Linked DNA regions of Tamandua tetradactyla. The protein of the gene in region 1 purifies or fractionates together with the protein of each later gene. This does not show direct contact. Links are inferred from orthologs where the notes say so. Each region holds a gene or a part of one and is shown on either strand. Other genes may lie near its edges.

Evidence for each region.
Region 2: the proteins of HNRNPA2B1 (region 1) and HNRNPH3 fractionate together in Homo sapiens (co-fractionation; 3 studies listed by BioGRID and IntAct, with this or other methods). This does not show direct contact. The link is inferred for Tamandua tetradactyla from reciprocal best matches to the Homo sapiens genes HNRNPA2B1 and HNRNPH3.
Region 3: the proteins of HNRNPA2B1 (region 1) and HSF1 purify together in Homo sapiens (affinity purification with mass spectrometry; 3 studies listed by BioGRID, with this or other methods). This does not show direct contact. The link is inferred for Tamandua tetradactyla from reciprocal best matches to the Homo sapiens genes HNRNPA2B1 and HSF1.

What each region holds. Positions count from the first base shown.
Region 1 is NC_135327.1:97,110,889-97,114,632, reverse strand, and holds the start of HNRNPA2B1 (heterogeneous nuclear ribonucleoproteins A2/B1), read right to left. Parts: upstream 2,159-3,744; 5' UTR 1,379-2,158; coding exon 1,373-1,378; intron 1-1,372. UniProt on the Homo sapiens protein: Heterogeneous nuclear ribonucleoprotein (hnRNP) that associates with nascent pre-mRNAs, packaging them into hnRNP particles.
Region 2 is NC_135339.1:29,013,210-29,016,953, reverse strand, and holds the start of HNRNPH3 (heterogeneous nuclear ribonucleoprotein H3), read left to right. Parts: upstream 1-1,332; 5' UTR 1,333-1,564; intron 1,565-1,680; exon of another isoform or gene 1,681-2,423; intron 2,424-3,744.
Region 3 is NC_135332.1:82,256,555-82,260,298, reverse strand, and holds the start of HSF1 (heat shock factor protein 1), read left to right. Parts: upstream 1-1,180; 5' UTR 1,181-1,230; coding exon 1,231-1,347; intron 1,348-1,404; exon of another isoform or gene 1,405-1,528; intron 1,529-3,744. Other genes in the region: ribosome biogenesis protein BOP1, read right to left, coding at 809-874. UniProt on the Homo sapiens protein: Functions as a stress-inducible and DNA-binding transcription factor that plays a central role in the transcriptional activation of the heat shock response (HSR), leading to the expression of a large class of molecular chaperones, heat shock proteins (HSPs), that protect cells from cellular insult damage.

The DNA.
Region 1 (3,744 bases):
CTCTATCGATTATAAACAAAATTATTTTATAAATATACTTTAGGGTCGAAATAACCAGGTAGGACCCCACCCCCTTTGCTTGAGACCTTAATGCTCATCAAAGTCATTATCAACCACGATTGCAGACAAATTAAAAAAAAGTAAAGTTCAAACATATAGCTACCCAGGCCTTAAACAGTTTTATTCATAGCAATACACGCATTAAGGACCGAGTCACGTTTTAACCAGTGTTCAACACTAAAAAACAAAAACATTTTTATTACTTTGGTCTTAATTATTGGCTTATCACGTGTGAAGCTCCATGTTTTTGCCAACAAAAATTAAACCATCCCAGTATAAGCGTTTATTTAAAATATTAATTCTATAATTTAAAAGAATCCTTCAGGATAAGATTTTGCTATTGATATTCTCCCCCATCCCAAAGTAATATCCTTCCCCTGCCACCCTCGCTGTAGTTCGTAATCTGCGTCCTCCAAATTTTGCTTTTGTACTTCTAAAGTTTCCTGCGACCTCACCGCACTTTTAATCGCTTCAGATCCAGATAAAACCGTTATTCAAAGAAACACGGGCTCGAAAACTTGAAATGGTTTCTTTGTAATATGGCTCGCCTTAAACCCGGTCCAAGGCGCTTCACCTTCTGTTAAACCGTATGAAGCAAGCCCGGCGAGCGCCACCCCCCACCCCCACTCCAGCCGTGTGGTTTCGGAACGTAATGGCGCCATTTCATCGAAGGGAAGGAAGAGAGCCTTTAACGAGGTGCGCAAGGACTTTAAAGATCCAAGCTCACAGAACACTCGGAATCCACCTCGAAACAATACGAAAATAGCCCGGGAGAAAAAACAAACAGTTAACTATTCCCATTATTCGATAGAGGATTCAAACTAGCAGAACTAACAGAGTTAAAAGAAAACCGTTGCGAGATAGGAGAGAGATGAAAATGGCGGACGCCAAATCCGGTTCCCCGGAGAGGGGGAGGGGAAGCTCCGCAGGCTCACTCACGAGGGCCCCAAGGCCGCCGAAAAGCTCAAACGCGGAAACGCTAGAACCCCCAAATGAGCGTGTTTTTAAAAAAGATAATTCCCGCCTCCGCGCCTCACTTTCCACCGAAAAAGGACTGCGTTTCCCATGTAAAAATTCTCCATCCCCCACCCCCGGTAAAAGGAAATGGCGCCGGGAGGCTAAGGGTGGGGAAGACGTTGTACCACTAGGCCTCCGCCAACGAATCCCCTCAAACATATCTCCAGATCAACCCCTTCGGAAACGGCCAATTTTCACTAGCGCTCTTCCACGGAGGCGCGTGGCCGACTTCCAGTGAGGCGCCAACGGCCTCGCCATGCCCTTTCCAATAACTCATTGATTTCAAACCCGTTACCTCCATCGCGGACTCAGTCGCTTCAGCCCGATTTCCCGCAGCCGAGCGAGATGAGAAAGATCTCCGCGGACGAACACGAACCGGACTCGTCCTGGCGCTGTTGTGAGAACTGCCGCTGCTCAGGAAACAACGCCGCTAGGAACACCTCCGCACCGGCCCGAGCGCTGCTGCTACTGCCGCTAGAGCTGCTGCCGCCGCTTTTCTAGAACCTTCCCTCCGACTAACGCGTCTTCCCTTACGTCAGGCCGTTGCGTAAACGCCCTAACCGCCGCCAATGGCGGGAACGGTCCACGCAGGCCTTACGCTAAATGCGTATCCCTCCCCCCGTTTGCAGGAGTGGCTGTGCTTGACGTCATTTGCGTAAATGGGGACAGTGAGTTGCGGAACGCTCGAGTCCTACGTATCCCTTTCTCAGAATTGGGTCCCGCCCCCGCCTTAGCGCAGGGCAGGTGAGAAACGGTCGCGCAGTTTGAAATTAACGCTGTCGGGAGGAGCTTAATCCGCTGCCCTAAAGGGGTTCCCGCAGCAAGTTCTTTCATGAACCCGCCTCCCGGGGTTCTCCCGCCATAAATATGTTGGTTGTCTGCCCCTTTCGTTCTCCCTTTTCCACCCGAGAACTAACTCGGCTCCTTCCGGAAACACCCGAAGCGACTTCAAATCAAATTACTATTCACCCTCCACCGAGCTAACCCTGCCCGACGTCCTTGAAGCCGACTCCTGGGGTCTCGTAAAGGTCTTCCGACAGGGTGGTCAAAGATGGGCACTGTTTCTCACTTCCCCATTCCCCCTCCTCCCAACTTGTTCTCCACCCCCATCCCAGCGTCTAGATGTGACCACCCCCGGGGGCGAGGAAGTGGGCGGAGCCCGGCTTTGGCGCCAGCCGCAGCCGCCGCAGCGAAGCAGAAAAGCATTCACCGAGAAGACTCCGGCCACCGCCTTCGCCCCTCCTCCCCTCTCCCTCCGCCAAGCCGCGAACGGTGAGTGCCGCTGTCGCCGCCGCTTACCCCTCCCTTCCCCACCGCCGGCCCCCGGCTCCTGGCGGGCGCGGCGCTGATCCCCTCCCCCGGCGCGCGCGCACGTACGCACGCCCGCTCCCACCCCGCCCCTCGCGGCCGCCTAGCGTGGGCGGTGCCGCTCCCCCCCATCCCCCGGCGGCCCCGCGCGCAGCTCTCCAGCCCCCTCCCCCTCGGATGTGGCTCGAGCTGGAGGCGCGCAGGGCTGGAGACGCTGCAGACCCGGGACCTGGAGCAGCTCGGAGGCGGTGAAGTCGGTGTCTTTATTTCTCTGTAGTTATGACTCGGTGGTGGTCCTTAAGATAGCACAATGCACCCCGAGCACCCTTCAGTCGCCTGCTCCCGCCGGACCCTTAGTCCGGGTCTAGTGCGAAGGAGTTGGGCGAGCGGAGGTTCCTCGGCGGGCCAGGCGTAGGGCCTGTGCCTGTAGTTAGTCGAGGGTACGAGACTGTCCTCCAGAGGGTGGAGAAACGTGGCGGCAGCCGCCGTATTTCTAGACAAAGCGCATTTCCTTTTCCCCTCCCCCAGCCCTGCTCCAGATGAGCAAGCAGCCCGCCACGCCAAGCCTGGTCGCAGCCTGGGCCTCCTGGGAAAGCGGCGCAGTTTCCACCCTCCGCGAGGCCTGGCAGCGCGCGCGGCCTGCTGGCCGGAGGCTGCGGCGGGCGCTCCTTTCGTGGCCACCGCGGCGGGAGGGGGGAGAGGGTGGCGCGGCCGGGTGGTGCAGTGCCCTTGAGCCCCAGCGCCGCGGCCTTTGTTTCTCCCCGCGGATGTGCTGACCACGAGGCCCGCGCTCTCGGGTGGGGGGGGCGGGGGTGCCCCAGGCTGCATTACTCTGGAATTAAGCCGGGAGACACCTGGGGCCAAGGGGGATCCGATGAATTTAGGAAAGCAATTTGTTTTTAAAAGTGACAGTAAATGGGAATGAACCTTCTCGGTGTGTTTTCTCTTTAGTTTTTAAACGAGTAATTGGAATAAGGGAGGGTTTTTCAAGAGAAATCAAGTTGGGATTCGATCAGAGGTTCTTTTGGACTGACAAGGTCTTGGGGAAAAATTCCACGTACTTTACCTATGTGGTTTTTTAGGTAATTGTGTTTGATTTTGAACAAGCGTTTGTCCTTTTTAAAAAGCTATGTATAGAACTGGTACATACGGGATTTAGATCAGAAATAAAATTAGTCCACCGTTTTTTTTTGGCCCGGGGAAAGCTCTATCTCAAGTACGAATATCCCCATTAAGGTCTTCTGAATCCACTTGGTTAGAATACTGATGTACTTTCAGACGTGTAATACTGATAATTTACATAAGCGCTCAGGTCTGCTTCTCTATGAATTTATATGTGTTTGATATGGGTACTAGCTA
Region 2 (3,744 bases), on another chromosome or scaffold:
TCCCATGAAGGGTATTTTGAGGCAGTGGGCTCAAGGAAAACAACAGGGCACTATGCTTGGGCAATTCTTGCTACCTAGTACTTAGTCTTAAACAGGACTGAGGATGAATTAAGGCCATGAAATGGAAGTTTCCATTATATAAAGGTAACTGGACTCCTGTCTCCATTCTGCACACTGCAAATCTCATGGGTGGGCAAAATTATTCATGCCTCTCCACTGCTAATATCCCTTCCCGCTGCGCCCCGACCCCACCCTGCTCCTTCCAGGCTTCCCAATGTTTGTAGCATGAAGTTCACATCTTATGGCAGGACACAGAAGATTATGTACAAACTAGCTTTGTCCACATTTCCAGCCTTAACATATTCCATAAAACTGTGGTCAAATTCATCTCCTCTCTCCTCACTCGATGTGTGTTCTTACCCTTGCACTTTCATTTGCAGGAATCTTACCAGGATCTCCCTTCACCTTTGCCACAGAAATTCGATTTTTATTTTTCTTTGAAACTTACAATAGGCCACAAGGCGTCTTTGGGAACCTTGGGGGCACAACAAGGCACAAGCAAGAAGACATTTATTAGGTGCCACTTGTATGCACAATAATTAAGAATACAAACGTCGGTTTAGAAAATCGGAATGCGGCCGCCATGAGCGGCTGATCTGTCACTGAAGTAGGAAAAAGACAACACGTAGGAGGAGAAAACCCGGAATGATATGTAGGGGAAAAAAGGAAACGTGTGGCAAAACCAATCAAGCAGCATTTCGGTGGCTGCTAACCGGTCCGACTGGGGGCGCTGCGCCGACGCGGCGCCGAGGCCGAGGGGAGCAGAGAAGCGCCAAACCGGGTGCTGAAATCGGGCCTCACGGGGAACTTTAGTGTCATCGCAGGTAGAAAACAGTTCTATTTTTACTGCATAACGCAAACATGGTGGACAAGAAAAGCTCTCCCGGCATTTGGCGATCAAACCACGTGGAATCTTTGTACGCAGGTGATGCTGGGTAAGAGTGAGGCCCTTAGGGAATTTGTTCTTAGTGCGGCAGAGTAAGAGAACTTGTCCAAACCGCGTCACCACGGTTCCTTCACAACACACTGGGAGAACTACTACTCCCACCTCACATCCTCCTCGAGAGGGCAGGAAGAGGACTCTGAGAATTTGATGGTTTTACACTTAGCAAGAAAGGGGAAGTCGGCCGCAGGTCTTTGTAACTGAACCAATGTCTTAGTTTTTGTACATTTTACTCCCAACTGGGTAGTCTGTCAGTGCGCATGCGCACTTTTTTGCTGCCCGCGCCAAGGCGTTACCGACTCTCTTGTCTCGCGAGAGCCGGGCAGCCGGTTTTCGTTGCTCTCGCTCCACCCCCTCCTTCTCGCTCGCTCTCTCCCATCCCCCAAGCCAGTAGCTCTGCTGCGCAGCTCCCTTAGCGGTTACCACCGCCAGAGACGGTTGGAAGAACCGTTGTGGAGGGCGCCACACGAGGGGAGCGACTTCTGCCTCCTCACGGCCGTACCCAGTGAGCACCAGAGTCGGCGTTACCGTCTCCTGACAGGGTATCTGAAGTAAAAGGGGGTAGGTTGGGCTGGTGGTTCGAGAGTGGAGTCGGGAGAAGGACGAGAGAGACTGGGAGGGGGTTGGGTGGGGTGGGGGTGGGGAGTGTGGAGGTCGCTACTCCGAGGCGGGCTGCGCCTCCCGGGCGATCTCCCACTTCAAGGAGGGCGGCCTGCCGGGGGGAAGGGCTTGTTCGTGTGGACTTCAGTGGACGAAGCCGAGGTCCGAAGTGGGGGTATCCAGCATTTCTCCTCTTTCCTTGCTGGTTTTGCCTCCGCCATTTTGGGTACTGTGGCGCGGCCACCTCAGCTTCCCGCCCTTCCCTGCTATTTCTGTTTTTTTGGTCCCCCAGCTTTCGAAAACTGATTTAGAAGGCCGGGGGGGTCAAAGCGCCCTGGAATGGATGTGGGTTGGAGTGAAGAGAGCTGGGAAAGGCCGGGTATTCGGGTCGGGGGAGGATCAGGGCTGTCGGGCGCGCTCCCGATGGAAATGGCGCCGGATGGGCCTGACCTCCCACCGCGGCCACCTTTCCTCTGCAGTTTCTGCTGGGCTACCTGGCCTGGCGGGACTGCGAGTGACTTCTGACGCAGATTCCCAAGATGAGAGAGGCTGAAGCTGGGGGAGGAAAGCCAATGGCGACGAAGGCGCTCAACTCCCAAATCCGGGACAAAGGAGGCAACCGGCCTCCTTTGTAATTCCGCCGCCCGGTGGCGAAGGTTTTTAAACCAGGCTTGGCTGCCGGTCTGGGAGGGGGAAGGGGCAGGGGCGTACTCTCCCTAGCTTTCTGGTCTCTAGGACAGCTAGATAAACGAAAAGCTCCGGGGAGGAATAAAGGACGCTTAGCCGGCCCTTATATTCCAGATTTGGAACTTCGAAAAGAGTACGTACTCATTTTCCAAAGGGGTTTATTCACGCTTATCTTAAACGTTTTTTAAAGATTGGGCGTAAAATCATTTGCGACTAGAGCAGTGGGTGAATTACCAAGCAGGAATGTGAAACGCCTATTTCACGTAGGTCGGCTGGGCCCACCTTATTGAATTTTGGGGCGGGGGCGGAGTGGCTTAGCAATGATTTCTGTATACTTTTGGTACAGACGAGTTAGAATTTGTTTTTAAATAGGAGTATTAGTTTTGGGAAATATGTTAAAAACAGCCAGTGGTGGTAAATACATGTATATGAGAATTGAGTTATTAATTTTTAACATAAAATTTCCAGGTTGTATTTTGTGCAGAGATTTCTTTTTTGACAGTAAGGCTGTAGAAGTAAAGTAACATCCAAAAAGAAGTCTAGTTTCTTTGGTGGGTAAGATTTTTTTTAGTGTAGGAGTAAGATTTTGACTAAGGAAATAAGCCCATAATAGCAAAAAACACATACTTTAAGCCCAGCGATGTGGTGGTGGTGATGATTTTTGGTCCTTAGAAAACGGAATCGATCGATAATTCGCACTGAGTACAGTTCAAGAGTTGGGGTAGGGGACTGGGCAAGGACTGAGAAAAAGAATTTCCAATAATCTTTATAAGAAGTCGGTTTTTTGGTTTTTAAAAAACACCCTCCTGTCGTTTAAGATTATCTGTGATGCTTAAGGTTGCTAAGGAAAAGTATCAGTCTTGAAACAGGTTTTAGGTAAAACCTTTGAAAAGACATCTAAAAATAGTATAAAACTAACAGCTTCCCAATTGAAGTAGCCTTCAGATTTTTTTCTGCACTTTTTTCATCAGCATCATAGTCTGGGAATCCGTCTAATTGTTGATTTTGAATAACCATGTTATTTTTAAGTGCCCTTATATCATGTTTTGGTAAGCAAAGTGGAGTGCAGTAGATAACTTTGGTCTAGTAAACGGTCATTTTAGAGAACTCCGTTTAGGTACTGGTGGTGTGTTTAGATTTTTTAATTACAGTTAAGGAGCAAGCATATCGGAAAGAAGGAGCAATGAAAATTTTCCATGTTTTAAAACTTCCCCCACTTTTCAGGACCATTGGGCTCCCTTTAGGAAGTTACTGTTGTGCTTCAGAAGGTAGAATATGCCTATATTGTAAAGGGAGTCTGTATTTGAGTTGGTCTTAATCAGATGCTTTTTAGAAACAGCTTTATTGAGAGAGAATTCACATTCCGTAAATAATACCTGTTTTAAATTTACAGTTCAGTGGTTTATACTACATTTAGAAGTAACCACAATCTAATTTTAGAACGTTTTTATCAC
Region 3 (3,744 bases), on another chromosome or scaffold:
TAGTTAGTTACATCAGGTGACGGCAAGAAACATAGCCTAAAAGGGCTTGGGAGCAAACACAACGAACTACTGAGGCATCCGCCAAACTGGAGGGAACACCATGCTCAGACCCAAAAGGCTGCTGGCTGGCTGGGGGTCACAGTGCCCACACCTCCAAGCAGTGCAGCTGAGTGGAGCCGACTGGGAGAGCTCAACCATGCAAGCCCTGGATGCAGGTAAGCCTCGGACAAGCCAGAGCTGAGGGGCAGTGGCCCTGCCGCTGCTGAGGTGGGTTGTATTTGCCTATTTCGTTCTCTTAAGCTTTTACTTTTTATGAGAAGCCAAGCAATATGTTAATGAAATAACACAACACAAAAAAAAGTACTAAGGACACAACTGGTACAGGACCCCCCTCCCTCCCATTTCCCTCCTCAGATACTGTTCCTCAAGCCCACGTAACTGCACCCGACGCGGGACCACCCCTTTGCACGGCTGTGCTCCGCCCGCGACTCCCGACGCTGCGGCTCCAAGAAGGCCCAGCCACCCGGGTCCAACAACAGCGCGCAGGTTCCCAGTGTCCGCGCGCTGGGAGGGCGCTAGGGCCTGCCAAGTCGTCTCTTGTTCGCCGCTGACCGCGTGGATAACATAGGCCGGGGGTACAGCGCCAGCAACCCCCCGGTAGGACCAAGGCAGGGAGGTGGCGCCAGTGCCGAGCCCCGTGCGCAGCACGTGCGCTCCGGCCCCAGTCCCCACGTGCGCGCCGCCCCGGGTTCGGCTGCACCCCCACCGCGCTACCATCACACACGCCACGCCGGTGCCCCGTGCCCACCTCCTCCGGTTCCTGCTCCGGCCCCGCGGGCCGCTTTCCGGACCGCGAACCCCGCGTCCCCGGCATGCTTCGCAGCGCGCCCGCTTGGCTCGGCTAACGTCCTCTTCCGGCAGCGAAGAGGCCCAACGCACGCGGGGCGGGACCGGGTCAGAGGGCACGATCGGTTCCGCCCCACTCCGATTGGCGGGCGGCGGCGGGGCGGTGCCGTCTGCGCGCGCGCGCGCGCGCGCCGCTGGGTCGTGGGCGGTGCCGTCTGGAGCGCGCCCGTCGCAAGATGGCGGCGGCCATGCCAGGCCCCGGGGCCGTGTGTGCGCAGCGGGTGGCGGCGGCGCGGCCCAGGCGGCAGGCGCGGCGGCGGCTCTAGCGCGGTCCTCGGCCCCTGCTCGCGGTCGGCCTCCTGGCCTCTCCTCGCGTGGCCCAACATGGATCTGCCCGTGGGCCCCGGAGCGGCGGGGCCCAGCAACGTCCCGGCCTTCCTCACCAAGCTGTGGACTCTCGTGAGCGACCCGGACACCGATGCGCTCATCTGCTGGAGCCCGGTGAGGGGCTGGGCGCGGGCACGCGTGCGCGCTGGAGGCCGGCCTGCCGGGGCGCGGGGCGCGGGGGCCTCCCTGGAAATGGGGGCAGGCGGCCCGCCAGTCTCCGGTGAGGGAGCTTCCACCCGTGGAACTCGAGAAAGGCGGGGGCCGTGTTCCCACCTGCTAACCCACCAAGCTTGAGGTACCGCCCAACAACCGCCGCGGGGCCACGAAGGGGGATTTTTCAGTGGTCCCAGACCCAGAACCCTTGAGAGGAAAAGCGGCTCTGAAACTCAGTCCCCTTTGAAGGGTGTTTTGAGCCCCAGGAAGAAATGCTTGTAGTCTTCACACACACACGAATTGGTTCGGAGGCTGCTGTCACTGTAGCAGGTTCAAGCCTACCGCATTCCTCACCCTCCTCCTTGCTCAGCTCCTGCTCAGCTGAAGTTTTGTTAGGAGGGGGAGAATGGGCCTCCTGCTTTGGTCTTTTGCTAAGTGTTAGACGTTGCAGAAGCATAGCTGTCCTTAGAACAAGCATTTGTTTCACTAAAAACATCACGCCAAAGTGTTTCCTAGGGTGGTATGATCAGCAGTTCGGCAGAGAATAACAGGACTCTGCCCGTGGTCGCAGGGCACTGCTGTATTGGGAGAGAAAGGGGAATGAGAACAGAAAGTACAGCGTCAGGATGCACAAGTTTCTCTCCTACGGGTTTCCCAAAAGTGGTTTTGTTTTCATTCTTTATGGGCCGTCTCTGCTTGAGTCCCTGTCTTCAGTTGCCTGGTAGCAGTTTTGTTTACACCGTTAGGCCCTGCAAGACTGGGCAGCTCCGGTTTGCAGAGGGAAGTCCGTGATTGTGTCTGGAGTTGGAAATCCGGGTCTACTGTCCATCGTGTTTGGCAAACGCCCTTGCCTGGGCTGGCAAATGACTAGTGGCCTGAAGGCTGCCCTGTCTGGAAGGGAATAGGGCTGAGCGCGTCTGGGCACGCTTGATCTGGGAGCGAAAAGGGCAGAGTTTAACCCTGCTGAGCGCTTCCCTCTAAAGAGGCCAGGCCTGTGAGCCCTTGACAGTGACGCGTACCCAGGCGGAGGCTCTCCACCTTCTGGGGCGCCTGTTGCTAAAGCCCTGCCCAGCCTGAAGGGCGTTCACTGCCCTCACTGCAGCATTCTTGTTAGGTTTTGCCCACCTTCCTCTCCTCTATGGAGGCACAAGTCCTGCAAGGGGCAGTGTACTTTTCCTCAAGCTATCTCCATGTCATAGTCATTCGTTCATCCTCAGCCTCGAGCTTTCCCAACTAAGGGAAATGATTCCACATCTCTCTCTTCCTTTATCCTAGCCTCTCCTTCTATCTGGTCCTCGTTCTTCTGAACTAGCTGGAAACACTCTTAGCCAGCTGGGGCAGACATCAGGCTCCTCCAGATATTCTAAGCCTGTTCCTCAGGAGATGCATCCTACCCTGTCGTGCTCACAGTCTCGGCCCTGCATGGCACAGACTTATCAGATCAAGTCTATGGCCAGCCTCCACCAGTGCTGTCCACGGTGGCCTCTCCAGGGTGCTCTGCTCTCTTGCTCCCAGCCAGACACATTCCCTGTGGGTCCTGTCAACAGGTTCTGTCCGTGAAGGGACAGGTTGGAACATGGAGAGGTAGTTCTGCTGGTCAGCTTTAGACCAAACAGCTAGAGTTGGTGGGTTGTGGGGCTGCTGTTCTCAGAGAGTACAGAAAAAGTACTGGCTGAAAGGTGGAGGGAGGCCCATTTCCAGGGGGGGCAGAGGACTGCTGGCCCCAAGAAAAGAGCGGTCACCCCCAGGCCATGGCTTCCAAGGGCGCAGGTGAAAGCCCCACAGCCGCAAAGGAAAGTCCAGCTCTTTCTGCAGATCTGGCTGCCCAGAACCCAGCCCACCGGGCCTTAGGAGGCTGATATGGTTGTGCTCTCAGGTGCCCTGTCTTTGTGCTGAACACTTCTCACTGCCTGCGGATGCTGGCAGCTTCCCCCAGGCTAAGATTCTGGACCCCCTCCCTAACCCTTGGTTGGTGGCGATGGGCTTGCCGCAGCTGCTACATCCTTGGGAGTGTTATCTTCCCACCCCACAAACCTCTGTTCATCAAAGATGCACCGGGTACAGTGATTTTACCAGAGCAGGCCAGGGCCTCCTGAGATCAGGTGCTCCTCAGATAGGTCCCAAAGGACGGCACAGCCCATGCTTATCCTTTACAGGGGGTCTTTAGTGACTGCAAGGGTTAGCATGAAGGCATGAGCATGGGGTGGACTCCTGGGGCTTGGGTCTCTGCTGTAGTAGAGGGAGACCTGGGACCAGACGGACGGACCTGGTGGGTGTTGGGAAGAGAGCCATAAGAATGCCCCCTACCCCACCCCACTGGCTTCTCCATGTCTTGTCCCAGAGGTGCCCAGAGACTCA